Linked DNA regions of Sus scrofa. The main gene of each other region encodes a partner of the protein of the gene in region 2 in a complex. Links are inferred from orthologs where the notes say so. Each region holds a gene or a part of one and is shown on either strand. Other genes may lie near its edges. The genes, in order: AP3M1 and AP3D1.

The links.
Region 1: the proteins of AP3D1 (region 2) and AP3M1 are in contact, whole or in part, in a cryo-EM structure (PDB 9C5C), measured with the Homo sapiens proteins. The link is inferred for Sus scrofa from reciprocal best matches to the Homo sapiens genes AP3D1 and AP3M1. Residues at the interface, in NP_003929.4 of Homo sapiens: Lys29, Glu388, Gly389, Thr390, Thr391, Arg393, Glu429, Arg432; in NP_001307192.1 of Homo sapiens: Ser25, Ser27, Asp30, Tyr31, Glu34, Pro52, Asp104.

Annotation. Positions count from the first base shown.
Region 1 is NC_010456.5:76,823,173-76,831,621, reverse strand, and holds part of AP3M1 (AP-3 complex subunit mu-1), read left to right. Parts: intron 1-4,105; 5' UTR 4,106-4,108; coding exon 4,109-4,381; intron 4,382-5,569; coding exon 5,570-5,741; intron 5,742-8,449. UniProt on the Homo sapiens protein: Part of the AP-3 complex, an adaptor-related complex which is not clathrin-associated. The complex is associated with the Golgi region as well as more peripheral structures.
Region 2 is NC_010444.4:76,456,446-76,464,894, reverse strand, and holds part of AP3D1 (AP-3 complex subunit delta-1), read right to left. Parts: coding exon 8,373-8,449; intron 8,007-8,372; coding exon 7,775-8,006; intron 7,126-7,774; coding exon 6,980-7,125; intron 6,596-6,979; coding exon 6,454-6,595; intron 5,982-6,453; coding exon 5,910-5,981; intron 4,990-5,909; coding exon 4,914-4,989; intron 4,702-4,913; coding exon 4,502-4,701; intron 4,214-4,501; coding exon 4,140-4,213; intron 4,031-4,139; coding exon 3,850-4,030; intron 3,684-3,849; coding exon 3,606-3,683; intron 3,036-3,605; coding exon 2,928-3,035; intron 2,121-2,927; coding exon 1,974-2,120; intron 1,759-1,973; coding exon 1,711-1,758; intron 1,450-1,710; coding exon 1,260-1,449; intron 1,124-1,259; coding exon 1,035-1,123; intron 941-1,034; coding exon 855-940; intron 379-854; coding exon 257-378; intron 154-256; coding exon 74-153; intron 1-73. UniProt on the Homo sapiens protein: Part of the AP-3 complex, an adaptor-related complex which is not clathrin-associated. The complex is associated with the Golgi region as well as more peripheral structures.

The DNA.
Region 1 (8,449 bases), on a different chromosome or scaffold from region 2:
CTAGTCTCATTCTCTCACCTTAGAAATATAGCCCTTCTATGCCTCCATTCTGTTATATATAGAAGGAATACATTTTCTTTTTTTAGACACTGTCTCCTAAGGATATTTTGACTGCTGTAATTGCATTGCTTGTAAATCATCAGGTTAAGTGTGTTCAGCATTTGATACAGAGGTTTTATGAAGTGTTTAAGCTGCAGTCAAAGCTCTAATGGAACTGCCTTTAAACAGTTTCTTAAGTGGTTTTAAAATAAGCTGGGAGAATTCTATTTTCTACCTCAAATGTCTTCTAGGACAAAAAGATGGTTGTGGTGTTGGTATATGTGTAGCTTTCTCAGAAAGTTTATTAAAATAATGAAAGAAATAACTGCAGCTACTCAAAGGTAAGTAGCCAAAGAAACAGGCTAATTTACACTGCTGCAAGTGGTACTTGCTTTTTGCATTACACCTTTGGTCATCATATGGATAGAAGACATAAGCTCTCTTTTCCTATTTTATTGTATTATTATAACTATTTTGTATGTGTGTCTTTTTCTAGGGCCGTACCCACGGCATATGGAGGTTCCCAGGCTAAGAGTCCAATCAGAGCTGTAGCCACCAGCCTGTGCTGCAGCCACAGCAACGAAGGATCTGAGCCATGTCTGTGACCTACACCACAGCTCACAGCAACACCGGATCCTTAACACCCACTGAGTGAGGCCAGGGATCAAACCCACAACCTCATGGTTCCTAGTGGGATTCGTTAGCCACTGAGCCACGATGGGAACTCCTCTTTTCCTATTTTAAAGGGAGGCACTGTTGATAACTATCAGTGCTCTGCTTTTATCTCAGCACTAGGGACAACATCAGTAAATCTAGATGGTGAGTTTAATTTACTCTATATAACTGAGACCTGAACTACTACCAGTGAAAACAACTTTGGTGGAAACTTTTCCTAGAAAGAATTTTTCACTAGCTTAAGAGGTTGAGGAGTTCACGTCGTGGTGCAGTGGTTAATGAATCTGACTAGGAACCATGAGTATGCAGGTTCGATCCCTGGCCTTGCTCAGTGGGTTAAGGATCCAGCGTTGCCATGAGCTGTGGTGTAGGTCACAGACACGGCTCAGATCCCACATTGCTGTGGCTGTGGCGTAGACTGGCAGCTGCAGCTCCAATTAAACCCCTAGCCTGGGAACTTCCATATGCTGCGGGAGCGGCCCTAGGGGAAAAAAAAAAAAAAGGCAAAAAGACAAAAAAAAAAGAGATTGAGTAGGAATCTGGCCTCTCCAATAAGAAACTGAAGTCACTCACTTTGAGAATAGGCAGCTCTCTTAGAGTGTATTGTGGCAGTGAGTACCATGGATCCGTGCAGGCTATACTTTCTTTAGGATAAATAGTTTAAGAAGATAACCTATGTCAGCTCTCTTAAGTACAGATTTCTGCTCTAAATAATTTAGAACACATTTTCACTTCTACTTAAATAAGCATATTCTTTAACCCCTCTTAAATTATAATTCGCATTTGCTGCCCAGTCTAATAATGACGACCACTAGCTCTGTGTCGTTATTTAATTTTAGCCGCATTTCAAGTGCTCATGTCTGATTAGTAGCTGCTGTATTGAACAGCACAGATAAAGGATATGTCCATCATTGCAGGAAATCCGACTGGACACTGCTGCATTAGTGTTTCCTAATAGTTTCTAAGAGACAGGTAAGAACAAGAGCTCAAGATTCAGCTGGATCTAAGTTTAAATCCTAGTTCTGATACTTCCTGTATGATCTGAGAGAAGTAACATAACATTTCCAAGACGTTATTGTCTTTTCTGTAAAATGGGGATAAGAGCAGTACTTGTGGCATTGAGTCGTGAGGATTAAATAAAATAATGTAAGTAAAGCGCCTAGGATATGTCTGGCTCCACAATAAGTATGCAATCTTAGGTATTATTAATTTGTTTATCTTTAATAAATAAAACATTTTGAATAAAGCTGAAAGTTAATTATCACAAAGGATGCCATATTCTATAGCTGTCTCATCTGAAATGCTCAAATCTGGGTCTCATTGAGTTGATGACAAAGTTCCACTTTAAGCCATACTTTATATTTGAGATGAAAATTTTATTCCAAGAAAAAGCATCATAATGCAAGTTCAGTTGCAGATCTTATTGCTGGATACTCCTGTTCTGTTTTTTAGACATGTATCAGAAATTCCTGCTGTGGCACAGCAAGATCAGCACATCTCTGGAGCCCTAGGATGCAGGTTTGATCCCTAGCCCAGGTCAGTGGGTTAAGGATCTGGCATTAATGTAGTTGCAGCATAGGCCACAACTGCAGCTTAGATCTGATCCCTGGCCCCTTGGCATATGGAACTCCATATGCCAAGGGGCAGCCAAAAAGGGGGAAAAAAAATTTAATAAATAAAAATAGTGTATCAGAGAGCAGAGGTGATAATTAAAAGTCAGTCGGTTCTGGGAGTTCCTGCTGTGGCGCAGTGGGTTAAGGATTTGATCCCTGCCCAATACAACACAGTACCTTACATCAAGTTTTGAAATCAGGAAGTGCTAGTCTTCCAGTTTTGTTCTTCTTTTTCAAGATCAATTCGGTTGTTCTTGGTCTCTTTAATCTCCATAAAAATTTCAGGGTCAGCCTTTCAGTTTCCATTTTGAAAAGGCATCTGATATTCTAATAGAGATTGCAGTAAATCTGTAGGTCAATTTGGGGAGTATAGTCATCTTAGCATATTAAGTCTTCCAATCTATAAACATGAAATGTCTTTCCATTTTTTTTAGTTCTTTTTAATGTCTTTCAGTGATCTGTAGAATTCCATATACAGGTCTTAGATTTCTGTTAATTTAATCCTAAGTATTTTGATCTTCTTTTGGATGCTTTTGTAAGTAGAATTGTTTTCTCAGTTTCAGTATCAGAGTAGTTATTGCTAATATGTAGAAATATAATTGGTTTTTTATATTAGTCTTATATCAAGCAATCTTGATGAATGCACTTATTGCTCTCAGTAGTTTTTGTGTGGGAATTCCCATCATGGCTCAGTGGGTTATGAACCTGACTAGTATCCATGAGGACGTGCGTTCAATCCCTGGCCTTGCTCAGTGGGTCAAGGATCCGGCATTGCTGTGCGCTGTGCTGTAGGTCACAGATGTGGCTCAGATCCCATGTTGCTATAGCTATGGTGTAGGCTGGCAACTACAGCCCCAATTCAACCCCTAGCCTGGGAACTTCCATATGATGCAGGTGCAGACCTTAAGGAAAAAAAATGGTTTGTGTGTGTAAGTGTATTCCTTAGAATTTTCTGTATACAAGATAACATCATCTGCAAATAGAGATAGTTTTGCTTCTTGTCCAATTTGGAAGCCTTCTGTTTCATTTTCTTGCTTAATTATCCTGTCTAGACCCTACCATGTTCAGCATTTTCAAAGTGCTGAAAATGGACATTATTGTTTGTTCTTGATATTAAGGGGAAAGCTTTTGGTTGTTTCACAGAGGTTCTTTATCAGGTTGAGGAAATTTATCTTCCTAGTTTAAATGTTTTTGTCCTATAAAATTTATCAAATGATTTTTCTTGCACCTTTTTAAATAATTATATTTTTGTCTTTTATGAATACTGTGTATTATGTTGATTGAACTAACCTTGCATTCTTAAATAAATCATGTTACTTGATTGAGTTTGCTAGTATTTTGCTGAGGATTTTTGCGTTTATATTTTTAAGTGATATTTGTTTGTAGTTTCTTGTATTGCTTTTGTGTGTTTTTGTTTGTTTTTTCGAAACATTCTTTTATTTTATTTTTTTGTCTTTTTGCCTTTTCTAGGGCTGCTCTCATGGCATATGGAGGTTCCCAGGCCAGGGGTCGAATCGGAGCTGTAGCCACCGGCCTACACTACAGCCACAGCAACGCAGGATCTGAGCTGCGTCTGCAACCCACACCACAGCTCACCGCAACGCCAGATCCTTAACCCACTGAGCGAGGCCAGGGATCGAACCCACAACCTCATGGTTCCTATTCGGATCCGCCAACCACTGTGCCACGACGGGAACTTCTGTGTGGTTTTGCTATCAGGTTAATATAAGGATACTTTTTTTGATGTATACTAAATTTAAACTTTTTTTCCCTCCCAGAAAATGATCCACAGTCTATTTCTCATAAACTGTTCCGGTGACATATTTCTGGAGAAGCACTGGAAGAGCGTTGTGAGCCAGTCTGTCTGTGATTATTTCTTTGAAGCTCAAGAGAAAGCTGCTGATGTTGAAAATGTACCTCCTGTTATTTCAACACCTCACCACTACCTCATCAGTATATACCGGGATAAGCTCTTCTTTGTCTCTGTCATACAGACTGAAGTGCCACCTCTCTTTGTAATTGAGTTCCTACATCGAGTTGCTGACACTTTTCAGGTTGGTTATTCATCAAATCTTTTGAATTTAAATTATCCAAGTTTGATGAAGGTGGAACACGGTTATATTCTTTAATTACCCAGCTTTTGATGTGTAATCTCTCTGTCTCTCCCTGTTCTTTTCACCTAAGCTTAAGCTCATAAACATAAACCTTTTTTATAGGGTATACAGTAGTATACATAGCTTCTCAGTTAAAATTTTAGGAGAACAGAACAATCTCATAGTCATGGAAACTGTATTTTTTTAATGTATTATGGATTATGCCATCAGGAAATAATAGTGCCCTCCACGTACAGTTCTCTGAATGGTCCCAAGAATTTTTTTGGTTATGAAACCTTCCATTGCTTAACATTATTTTTTTTTCTTGGCCTCCTGAATATACCAATAATTGAAAACTTATCGGAGTTCCCGTCGTGGTGCAGTGGTTAACGAATCCGACTAGGAACCATGAGGTTGCGGGTTCGATCCCTGCCCTTGCTCAGTGGGTTAACGATCCGGCGTTGCTGTGAGCTGTGGTGTAGGTTGCAGATGCGGCTCGGACCCCGCGTTGCTGTGGCTGTGGCGTAGGCCAGTGGCTACAGCTCCGATTCAACCCCTAGCCTGGGAACCTCCATATGCCGCGGGAGTGGCCCAAGAAATAGCAACAACAACAACAACAAGACAAAAAAAAAAAAAAAAAAAGAAAACTTATCCATGTTTCTTGGAGTACATGATCAGGACAAATGAAGTTTATAGTTCACATTCTGTTTTAACATTTCAGTGTATTTTCTGACGTAATACTTAGTAGGAATCCAATTCAATCTAAAAACATTAAGGAGGAGTTCTTGCTGTGGTCAACAGGATCAGCGACATCTCTCAAGCACTGGCACACAGGTTCAGTCCCTGGCCCAGCACAGTGGGTTAAGGATCTGGTGTTGCTGCAGCATAGGTGACAACTGAGGCTCAGATCTGATCTCTGGTCCAGGAACTCCTAATGTCGTGGGGCAGCCAAAAACAATAGTAATAATAAGGAAATTTTGAAGAATAGTATATAGAACTCTAGAGGGTTTTTTCACCCTCTGTTTACATATTTTCGACATCTTAAACAATGATTTGTGCTACTTTAAGTTTACCCTTTAGAACACAGAAAGTATTTAGCAAGCCTTTCTTCATGTCTTCTATTGTGCAATATTATGTACCTTTTGTTAGGACTACTTTGGTGAGTGTTCAGAGGCTGCAATTAAGGATAATGTGGTCATAGTATATGAGCTCTTGGAAGAAATGCTAGACAATGGATTTCCACTGGCTACGGAGTCTAACATTTTGAAAGAATTGATTAAACCACCAACAATTCTACGTTCTGTTGTCAACTCTATTACAGGTAAGTGAAATGCACTCTAATAAGAACTGAGCAATTGAAACTTCATAAACATTCATTTTTGTTTATTTGATCTGGCAGATTCTTAAGGTAGTCCGTTTTGGCCGGATTTGAAGTTAGTGATAATGTTAAAATAGATGTATATTTCTTTTCATGAAAAGAGGCTTGATTTTAAATGATAAAGAACTTTTGCTTGTTACTCTTGTATTACAGGTTTTTCTGTAAGACTACAACAATATTATTACTATATTTAACACTAAATAGTAAGAATGACTAAATTATCCACTTAAAGAGAAACCAATATAGTGATGACTGTTAACTAAATTTATCATGGTAATCATTTTGTAATATATACCTATATCAAATCATTATGTTGTATACCTTAAAATAATAGTGTTATATGTCAATTGTATCTCAATAAAACTAGAAAAAAATAGAGTTCCCTGGTGGCTTGGTTGGTTAAGGGTCTAGCATTGTCACTGCTGTGGCTCAGGTTGCTGTTGTACGACTGGTTCAGTCCCTGGCCCAAGAACTTTCATATGCTGCAGGTACAACCAAAAAAAAAAAAAAAATAGAAAAAATAAAACTGTAATCCATGAGGACACACGTTTGATCCCTGGCCTTGCTTATTGGGTTAGGGATCCAGCATTGCCTTGACCTGTGGTGTAGATTACAGATGCAGCTCAGATCTGGTGATTCAGCCCCTAGCCTGGGAACCTCCATATGCCCTGGATGTGGCTCTAAAAAGACAAAAATAAAATTAAATAAAATAATGAAACTGTAGCCAATATGAGGCTACCTAGAAAAGCATTTAATTTATATATAGACTAGCATTTTAATATTTAAAATAGCATTATTTTATAAATATACCAAGTCAGTACATTGTACACCTTAAACTTACTGCAATATTATGTGTCAGCTATATCCCAATAAAGCTGGAGAAAAGATACAACTTTTAAAAATATCATTATAAAACTGGCATTATGCTGGGTACCCACAGCTACTAGAGTATAGACAATTTTAAGACTATACCATAGAGTACATACTATCTCTTCCAAGTCTTTATAAATAAAGAAGATGTATTAAAAAGAGAAAGAAAATTAGCCTATTTGTCTTCCTGCATTATGGGCCTTGAACTTGTGTTACAAACTTCTAATTTTGATTTAATTCTTGAGTATAGCTAGATATTAGGTACATCCAGATGACAATATACTTTTGAAAGTATCAAAGTCTTCTAAACAAAGATTTCTATGAAATGTTATATGCCATTCCAGCTGTGCTACCCACCATTATAAATCCCTTTTCAAGGACTCGGAAAGTCCTTGAAAAGCACTAACATAAAAAAATTGGCTGAGAGAAGCCTATAAGGAAGTGATCATTCATTCCTTTTTTTCATCCTCTATGCAAGACTGGGTGTCAGGAGAAATTTAAGAAAAGATAAGATAGATTGTCTGTGCTCCTAAAACTTGAACTTTGGGTGGGAATCTAGAAAAATTGAAACATACAAATTAACAGTATAAGATTTTGAAAAGCAATTCTTTACTTTATAAGCAATATAGTGACACTGGAGGGTACACATGATATAATATTTAATGAAAAAAAAGCACAAAACCATAAAAAGATACTCTTAATAATACATAAATACACACACAGAAAAGTTCTAAAGTTTATGATATCTCCAGCTAAGGACCTATATATTATCCTTATTTTTGCTTTATACTTTCTGGTTTCTAAAATGAACATGTATTTTTATACTTGGGAGAAAAAAAAGTTACTGAAATACAGAATTAAAAAATAACATGGGAGTTCCCATCCTAGCTCAGCAGTAACAAACCCAACTAGTATCCATGAGGATGCAGATTTGATCCCTGGCCTCTCTCAGTGGGTTAAGGGTCTGGTGTTGATGAGAGCTGTGGTATAGGTCACAGTTGCTGTGGCTGTGCTGTAAGCCAGCAGCTACAGCTCTATATTGACCCCTAGCCTGGGAACTTCCATATGCTGCAGGTGTGGCCATAAAAAGACCAAAAAAATTAATAAAAATAATGTGGATTATTAAGGCAATACATTATAAAGATCAAGAGAATTGTTCATTGGACAAAGTAATCCCTCTGAGCTGTAGTGGGTAGCCCTAGGGCAGGGTCTTTGAGAGTTATTAGAATTTAGGAAAAGAAAGGAGTAAGAGTATTCTTTATAGATGGAAGGAACAGTGTGAGAAAAACACAAGTGAAAAATCTTTTATTAACTCATTTAACAGAGGCAGCGCTGTTTTTCAGTTGAGTAGTGAGATAAAATTAAAAAGTTCAGTGCAGGAAGTCCTTGAATGCTAGGCTGAATATTTAGCTTTTATCATAAAGCCAAGGGGAAACATTAAGTTTTTTGGGGGTTTTTTTGTGTTTTTTTTTTTTTTTTTTTTTTTTAGGGCCACATCCATGGCATATGGAAGTTCCCAGGCTAAGATCGAATCGAAGCTGTAGCTGCCAGCCTACACCACAGCCATAGCAACGTGGGATCTGAGCCACGTCTGCAACCTGCAGCACAGCTCATGGAAACGCTGTATCCTTAACCCACTGAGCAAGGCCAGGGATTGAACCCACGTCCTCATGAATACTAGTCGGGTTCATTACCACCGAGCCACAACAAATGTGGGAACTCCCCACATTTAAAATTTTTGAGTAGGAAGATTAAAGCAGTGTTTTTAGAAAATTCGGGAA
Region 2 (8,449 bases):
AACAGGGCTCAAAGCTGCAAAGGCACAGTGCTGAGGAGTGGAAAGGCTGGGTGGGACCTTCCTGAGGGCTCACCTTCTTCACCAGGAGGCAGACGTGGTGTCCCTGGATGGAGCGGCTGTACATGGAGGCGCAGGAATCCACTCGTTCCACAACTACAACAGAGGGCAAGGGGTGAGGCTGGGCCAGCCCTGGGGTGGGGAGGAGTCACATGTGTAGAAAAGCAGAGCCATCTATCAGCCATGTCCAATCCCTTACCGGAAAAACGGTGATGAAAACAGATCTTTGCCAGAAGGTTCTGGAAGGACATACTAATGCCATCAACCTTGATTGAGCTCATGCTCAGGTCCCCAGACTCCAACAACTTGGCAAAGGCATCACTGTGGGAAAGGGACGGAACGGGACAGTAAAAACAGGGGGCCTTGGTGTGTGCCTGTGGCTTAGGGTCTCCAAGGGTGCTGTGAGAAATCAAGAGCTGGACTATGTCCCCGAAACTCCTATGTTGAAGCCCAGACCCCCAGGACGTCAGAATGCAACTGCATTTGAGACTGGGGTCCCTGTGAGAACAAGACACGTGACCGTCTGCACTCCAAACAGGATGGCCTCAGGATGACCCACTTCTGCCATCACTGGTCTCAGCCTGCAGCACTGGGAGGAAACCAATACCTGTGCTTGGACCACAGGACCTGCGCTCAGTGTTATGCAGCTGAGCTGGCCGGCACAGCAGATATGCTGGGCTTTTTGTGCTCACCATAAACCGGTCACCCGACAGTCCGTGCACTCTCACACCTTAAATCAGAGAGCATGGCTGAGGTGATTGCACCCAGAGCCTGGCACAGCATGGAAGGGGGCATACCTGTAGCAAGGTGTGGTGACCAAGTAGGAGGTGCAGGTGAAGTGCAGCTTGAAGTCGAGCTTCTCATGGGTGGAGCCTTCGTCATTCTGTTGGAGTAGGGATGCAGGGTGAGTGTGGGCATGGCTCCAGAGTAGGGGTTCTCTCAGCTGGCGGCCCCACTGCTGCCTTGCTTCCCCGTACCTTGGCAATGAAGGATAGTGTCCCCTTGAGCTTCTGCGCCATGACGATGCTCTGAATGGTGAACACAAACTGGGCTTCGTTGGAGATGCCTAGTGAGGGTGAGAGGGGCCTGAAAAGCAGCGCAGGGTGCAGCCTGGGAGCGTGTGTGTGGCTATCCCAGCAGGTGGCAGGTACCCCACAACCCAGGGTCTGCCCTCAGTGATGGCCAGTCCTGGGGCCACTCACCAGGGGGCAGCTGGAAAGGCACAGGGACACCATCATGGACTGAGGAGCCCTCTGGCCGGGCCAGCCGGGCGTTGAGTGAGTCCAGCACGTTGAGTTCCATACTCTTGAGGAAGCTGCTGCTCTGGTTCTCCAGGACCACGGACACGGTGACCTGGCTGTCCTTCTGCAGGCTGCCCTGCACATCGTATGTCTGCACAGAGCAAGGCAAGGTCAGCAGTGCAGGGAGCCCACCAGGGGCCCCTCTGGGCCTGGATGAAGGCCCAAAAGTGTGAGCACAAGTATGCAAAGGAAGGAACGTTCTGGACCCTCACTCAAGGACACTGAGTTTCAGATATGTACACAGATTTTAGCTATTCCCGATGCACGGCTCTGCCTCCACACACCCTCACAGAGAAAGGACCCCCCCGAGCCTTCCGTGGACCATGCTCTCTGAAACACACTTCTCACTCACCATTTTGATGTACGAATTTTCAGCCAAGAGGCAGTAGCTAGACATGGGCTGGGAATAAGAGAAAAACGTGTCAGCTTTGGGTGCCAAGAACCTGAGCGTGATGTCTGCTGAGGGTGGGGCCAGGTGTAAGCTTCCAGGTGCTCCCGCAGGAAATGCTAGGCCCAATGGAGCGGGTCCTGGACAGCATGAGCCCACACCTTGGGGCTCCTGACACTGTCAGGGCTGTCTGGGGAGGACCAGGCAGGCGCCAGTGGCACCCTCACCGGGAGGGGCTCCTCATCTAGTGCGCCGTTCTCCACGGGCTCAGCCACTCCTTCCCTTGGAGGTGTCTTCTTTTTGGATTTCTTCTTGTCTTTGGGCCTCTCCTCCTTGTCCTTCTTGTGTTTCTTCTTCTTCTCCTTGGAAGTTTTCTAAACAGAAATAGTTCAGGTCAATCCCACACTCACGTGGGTACCACAGTGGTGATCGAATCTCATATTGTGGGGACCAAGCATGCTAAGGTAAAGGGCCCACACATCAGGGTGAGCAGGCCAGCAATCCCCAGGGCTGCAGGGAAGGGCCACCACGAGGACCCGGGAACTCACTGCTGGGCTGGATAGTCGTTGCTGCTGGGTAAAATGCATGAGGAAAACCAGGGAGAGTGCAGACGTGATGGCCCAGCAACCACAGAACTCCTCAGTGTCTCCCCCACCACCCCCGCCCCACACACACTCAGACACTCACATCAGCATGACTCACAGCAGCCAAAAGCTGGGCACCACCCAGTGTCCACCAAAAGGTGACAAACACCGTGCAGTCCCTCCACACATGGAGCATCACTCAGCCATGAAAAGGAAAGAAGCCCCGATACTTGCTACCACATGGACGGACCCAGAGACCACGATGCTCAGTCAGAGCAGCAGACACAGAAGGACACACAGTGTGGGATTCCATAGATGGGAAACATCCAGAACAGGCACATCCACAGAGACAAAGGGGGGGTTAGTGGTTGTCAGAAAAGAGGAATGGGGGTAGGGCTGATGACAGAAATGGATTCCCTTTAGCAGTGATGGGACGTTCTGGAATTAGAGGCGGTGGCAGCAGAACCATGAATAGTTCACTGTGGACGAGTTACAGCTCAATAGTGCTGTTGTGGGTCAGAGCCCCATAGCCACGGCAATGAGAAACCACTGGTGGGATGTGGGCAGCAGTAAGCACCTCTTGCCTGGCTCTCGTACCTTTTCAGGCTCCTGGTGCTCGTCCTCGTCAGCATCCTGCACCTCTTCCCTGGGCTCCTCAAGCCCCTCCTCAGGGGCAGTGGCTGCAGCATTCACCCTGGGCTCTTCCTGTAGGAAGCCAAGTGAGAGGCTCAAAAGGCAGCTCCCTCTGCCCTGACCCACCCGCCTTCCAGGGACACCCGGCCATGAGGAGCCTCCCTTGGCAGGCTAGGTGTGTTGTAAGGACGCAGGTGTGGGGCCTTGATCTGAGCCAGTGGCCAGCTGAGGGGAGAGGACGCCTGGCTTGAGGCTCGCTGGCACTGGCCAGCAACCCTGCATGAGACCCCAGAGGCACCAGGCTCCAGCCGGCAACATAATGCAGCTGTTCAGAGCTGCTGCCTGGCTCTGGGGGTCCGGGCTCTACACCGAGCAGTGTCACACAGCCACTGTCAGGGTAAGACGCCGGGAACAGGACCGAGCTGGCCCAAAGTTGTCTGTGTGCCTTAGGGTCCCCACGTATCCCTTTGTAGCCGGGGTGCAAGAGGCCAGAAGGGCTGTGGGTGATGAAGGGGAAGGGCCAGGCAGGGCACCAAGGGAGCAGGGAGCACCCCAATGTTTCTAAGAGGCAGCCTCCAAGGCCGAAGAGCACACGTGTCTGGCCAAGGAGCACCTTGGTACAGGTCGCCATCAGGCTCTTACCGGGGCTGGGGCTGCAACAGGTGGAGTGGTGGACAACCAGAAGTCCAAGTCCTCACCCTGAAACCAAAGGAAGGTGGCCTTTGGCCAGAGCACAGGACAACCCGGTCAGGCCTGGAGGAACTGTGCCGCCTTGAGCCAAGCAACATGACCTACATTTGATGCTTCTATGAAAGCACCCGACCCCACGGCCCACTGATGGGAGGGAGCTGGGTCCTTGGGACTGCCCATTGCACCAGGGCCTCACCTTCTCTGCTTCCTTTCTCTTCTTCTTCTTCTCTCGCTCCTTCTCCTTGTGCTTCTTCTCCTTCTTTTTGGGTTTCTTGCTCTTTTTTTCTATGACGGGGATGTCCTCTTTCTCAGGGGACTTGGGGGTCTCAGCATTTCTGTGTTTCTGCACAGGCAGCTTCTCGCTGTCAGCTAGGGGCCTGGATGGTCACAGGAGACTTGGCCTGGGATGAGGCTGGGGGAGGGGTACCCTAGCCACCCCTCTGCTCCCATGGGACAAGGAGAGTCTGAGTTATGTCCAGCACTCACTTGTCCAAGTCGATGTCTAGGGCCCTGTAGGGGTCGTTTGGGTCTTTGTCATCCTCGTCGCTGGGCAGGGCGTTCTGAGGGAGGACGGAAATGCTGGGTCAGGTTTGCCTCGCCCTATCCCCCCGACCCTGCCGAGCCTTAAGGGTCTAAGGAAGCACCCCCACACTCTTCTAGGAAAGAGACCACCAGGTCCACACTCGCAAGGGCGTCTGACCTGGGCCTGGCACTCAGGCCGAGACACCTGTCATTAAGCAGAAGCCTGGGGGCCGCCTGCTCAGAGCTCACTGGACAGAGCTGGTTGAGGCCCTCCCCACGACAGGGACAACAGCAACGGGTGGGCCCCCACGGGGAGGGCCACTGACCTCAGGCATCTCCTCAGTGACGATGTCCACGCGCTGGGCAGGTGCGATGTCCTCATCGCTCTCTGTGTGCAATGAGCTATGGCGCCGTGTGCCCCGCCTCTCCCGCTCCCTCCTCTTCTTCTTCCTCTTGTCCTTCTCCAGCCGCTGCTGATGGCGCCGCTCCTCCTCCAGCTTCACGTACTGGTCCGACATGGGCATCCCTGCAAACAATGCATACTCAGTGCTCGGTCCTGGGCCCAGGCCACGGCCACCCTGAGCACCATGCCTAGGGTTGCAAGAGGATGCATGGGCACTGCCCTCTAGCTGCTGGGACATGAACAGAGGTTAGCACGGCACATGGCCTCTCTCTATTGGGATAAGGTGGAGGCCAGGTGCTGAGACAGTGGGAGTGCAGGTCCCTATAGATACTTGCCTGGCACTTTCAAGGGCACTGAGAGGTCAATTTGCACCACAGGAATGTGGTCCACACCCGGTGCATCCTGGTATCGCTGGAGAGGAGATAGCAAGGCACCCGTCACTGGGCAGGGCAGCGGCCCAAAGCAACAGAGTCACAGAGATGGGGGTGGGGAGTTGGCATAAACATAATGTACAGCGTAGAATCCAACACTCAGTAATTTTGTTCATTAGAATCTTTTCCTCCCAAATTAGAAAAGTAGTGCAGGAGTTCCCGTCACGGCGCAGTGGTTAACGAATCCGACTAGGCACCATGAGGTTGCGGGTTCGATCCCTGCCCTTGCTCAGTGGCTTAACGATTCAGCGTTGCCGTGAGCTGTGGTGTAGGTTGCAGACGTGGCTCGGATCCCGCGTTGCTGTGGCTCCGGCGTAGGCTGGCAGCTACAGCTCCGATTCGACCCCTAGCCTGGGAACCTCCATATGCCGCTGGAGCGGCCCAAGAAATGACGAGGAGAGGGAGAGGAGAGGGAGAGGAGAGGGAGTGGAGAGGAGAGGAGAGGAGAGAAGAGAAGAGAAAAGCAAAGTAGTGCAGGCTTGGAACCAGGATAATGTGGTACCTCCTGCCCCCAGGATGGCTGGAATCAGCAGGGCCCACAGGCAGGTTCGGGGGGGACAGGCTGGAGCCCCTCAGAGAAGTGAGCAGAGTCATCCAGTGATCCCAAAATCCCAAAAGCAGGGAAACAGCCCAGCAGCCGCCATGTGGAGCCTGTCTCCCTGGGGCTCTGCTAGGTGGGGTATGGATGAAGACAGAGGCACCAGGCAGGACCCATGTCCTCTGGTGTCCACTCCCTCCCGCTGAGGCACCACATCTGCAGCCCTGCACACCCAGCTGAGAAGCCTAGCCAAAGATCCACTTGTGGGGCTCGGGATCAAGAGCCCCTTCCAGTCCTGTCTGGGGACCTGCCAACAGCCCAGCACACCAGGGGACCATCCCTTAAGGACAGGCATGCCTCACCTTTTGGGGGGACGGGGAGCTCTTGATGTAAAAGGGGTTGTTGGCCTGCTCCTGCTTCCGGGCCTCCCGGCGCTGTGGGGACAGGGTCCAGCATGTACATCAGTGGGTGTGTGAAGCCCTCGTGTCCTCCCAGGCGCAGGCCACCTCCTCGCACCAGACCCAGGATCCCCAGTTCCTTTCACTGTTGGCCTTTGACCCAGAGGAGACCGAGGCCGGCGGTGGGCAGGAGCAGGTATGGAGACGGGTGGAAAGCACAACAACCCAGAGGGTTCAAGACTGGGGTCAGAGAGGCTGGCAGAGCTGCCTGAGGCTACCCACTCAGGGACAGAGCCTGGGGTAGGGGCAGGAGCAGGGAGGAGGCCTGGTGGGGCAGCATCCCTGGGCACCACAGGTCCTGAGTGAGGTCAGGCCCCACAACTCTCCCTGGGGAAGGCCTGGCTTGAGAAACCACCCTCACTTCAACAAAATCCAGTCCCATGTCAAAGGTGGGCTCAGTGCTGGCACAGGACAGCGGGACATAGCCCAGACGTGACTGGGCGCTCACCCGGGCCAGTTCCTGCTCATCTGCCTCAGGCGGCCGCTGCTTCGCATGCCGCTGCTCCTCGTCCTGAAAGATGGCCTTGGGCTTCTCATCCTCAGACTCACTGTCCGAGAGTGGCTCGTTGATCCAGGCATCCAGGTCCAGGCTGCAGGACACAGTGAGGTCACACGGTGGCTCCGGCCTGCACGCCTGGCCCCGGATACTGCCGTCCCCTTGGAGAAAGGACAGGGAGGCTGGGCAGCTGCCCAAGACCAGAGTAGGCCAAGCCAATCAGAGACCCTGCACCCCCTGAGGGTCGCCAGCAGACCTGCTTCCTAGGGATGACACCAGAGATGGGGACAACAGGTTCCAGGGGAGCTGGCGAGGACCCCACACGGCCTGTGTCCTGCCCACAGGGGCTCAGGCCTCTGGGGCCGTCCTCAACCCTCCCGCTCCTCTCCTGGCTGGAGAGCAGGTCCAGGGTGTAGTTCTGGTTCCATTGGCCCTCTTGCTGCCCGCTCTGTGTCCCCTGACGGGCCACATGGCTCACCCTTCAGGGACCGGGACCTTCTTCTGTGCCTTCGGAGCCACTGGGTTCAGCTCCCCAGCAAAGAGAGCACTCACTTCTTCTGCCACCGGCATGTCCTTGGCCTGAAGCTTCTGCACGTGCTTGACCAGCTGCAAGATGCAGGATGCCTGTGGGGGCCACGGAGAGAAGACAGGAGTCAGGGAGGCCTGACTCAGCTGCCATGGGGCATCACTCAGACCACACAGACGCCCAGCTGTTGCTGGAGCCCCACCAAGGTCCTGAAGTCTCTGTGAGAAGCCACTGGCCATGGGGCCCCACCAGGAGAGGCCAGCTTGGCTACTGTCTTCTTTAGGAGGCATAAAACAAGCAAGCCGAGGGTCCAGGGGTGGAGAAAGGTCTGCCACACACGGCCATCAGCCTGAAGACTCGCCTCCAGGAGGTACCAAGATGCACTTGACCCAGGGGCTCTCGGTAACTGAGAAGCCTGTGTCACCAGGGTGCGAGGAGGAGACTACCAGGTCGCTGATGACCACGTCACCACCTAAAGTTCTCTACAGACCAGCTTCTTCTACCCACCTGGCCACCAGCCACCAGAAATCCATTGTTGCCTCTGACACTTCCCTCTGGGGCCAATGGACCACCGACTCTAGCCGACCACATACTCTGACGTCATCTCTCACCATCTCCTGCCACCCCAGCTCTCACTAGAGTCCCCCTGTGGGTGACCGTCCAGGACTCCCACAGGGTGGTCCCACAACTGCGCATCGCCTGGCCAAGGTGGAGTTGTTTTCTGGGAAAGGAAGAGCCACCACCCACCCGCTCCTGGACCTCCAGGTCTGCGCTCTGCACAAACTGGGGCAGCCGTTCCACCAGGAGCTGGGTGACCTCCTGGGCTGCCTGCGCGTCCGCAGCCTGCTCCTTCTGCTGCAGGATGGCCGCATACAACTTGACCACATTCTGCACATACACTGCCTGGATGTGGCCAGGCAGGGTGGTGACTTTGGGCCGCAGCATGGCCTCCAGGGTCTGCTGGGGATCCTGCAGGTGCCTGTGGACAAGGAGGGCTGGTAAGTCCCTGCCCAGCACTAGGGGTGGAAGAAGGGAATTTGGAGGAAACCACCTCAGCAACAACGTAGTAGTTACAGGGTAACTGGACAAAAAAAGCTGAGAAAAGGGAAAGAACACTGTATCCACAGTGTCAATCTGGCTATGATCTGTGACTACAATGGGCAAGGGCAAGTGTCTGAGTAGCACCACTTACTGACTTTCCTTCTGTCCCTGTGCAGAGTGCAGCAGATGGACAGGTGGGTGTGGCAGAGGCTGGGGAAGCAGAGGAGCCACAAGGCTCCAGGGGATGGGTCTGCCAGGCGCACCCTTCCCTTTGGGACCAGGAGGACCCCTCGTGCTCACTCACTCAGAAAACTCTCCGCAAATCCAGGCAGCCGCGTAGAGCACCTCGCAGATGCCGTTGCGCTGGGTGCTACTGGCCAC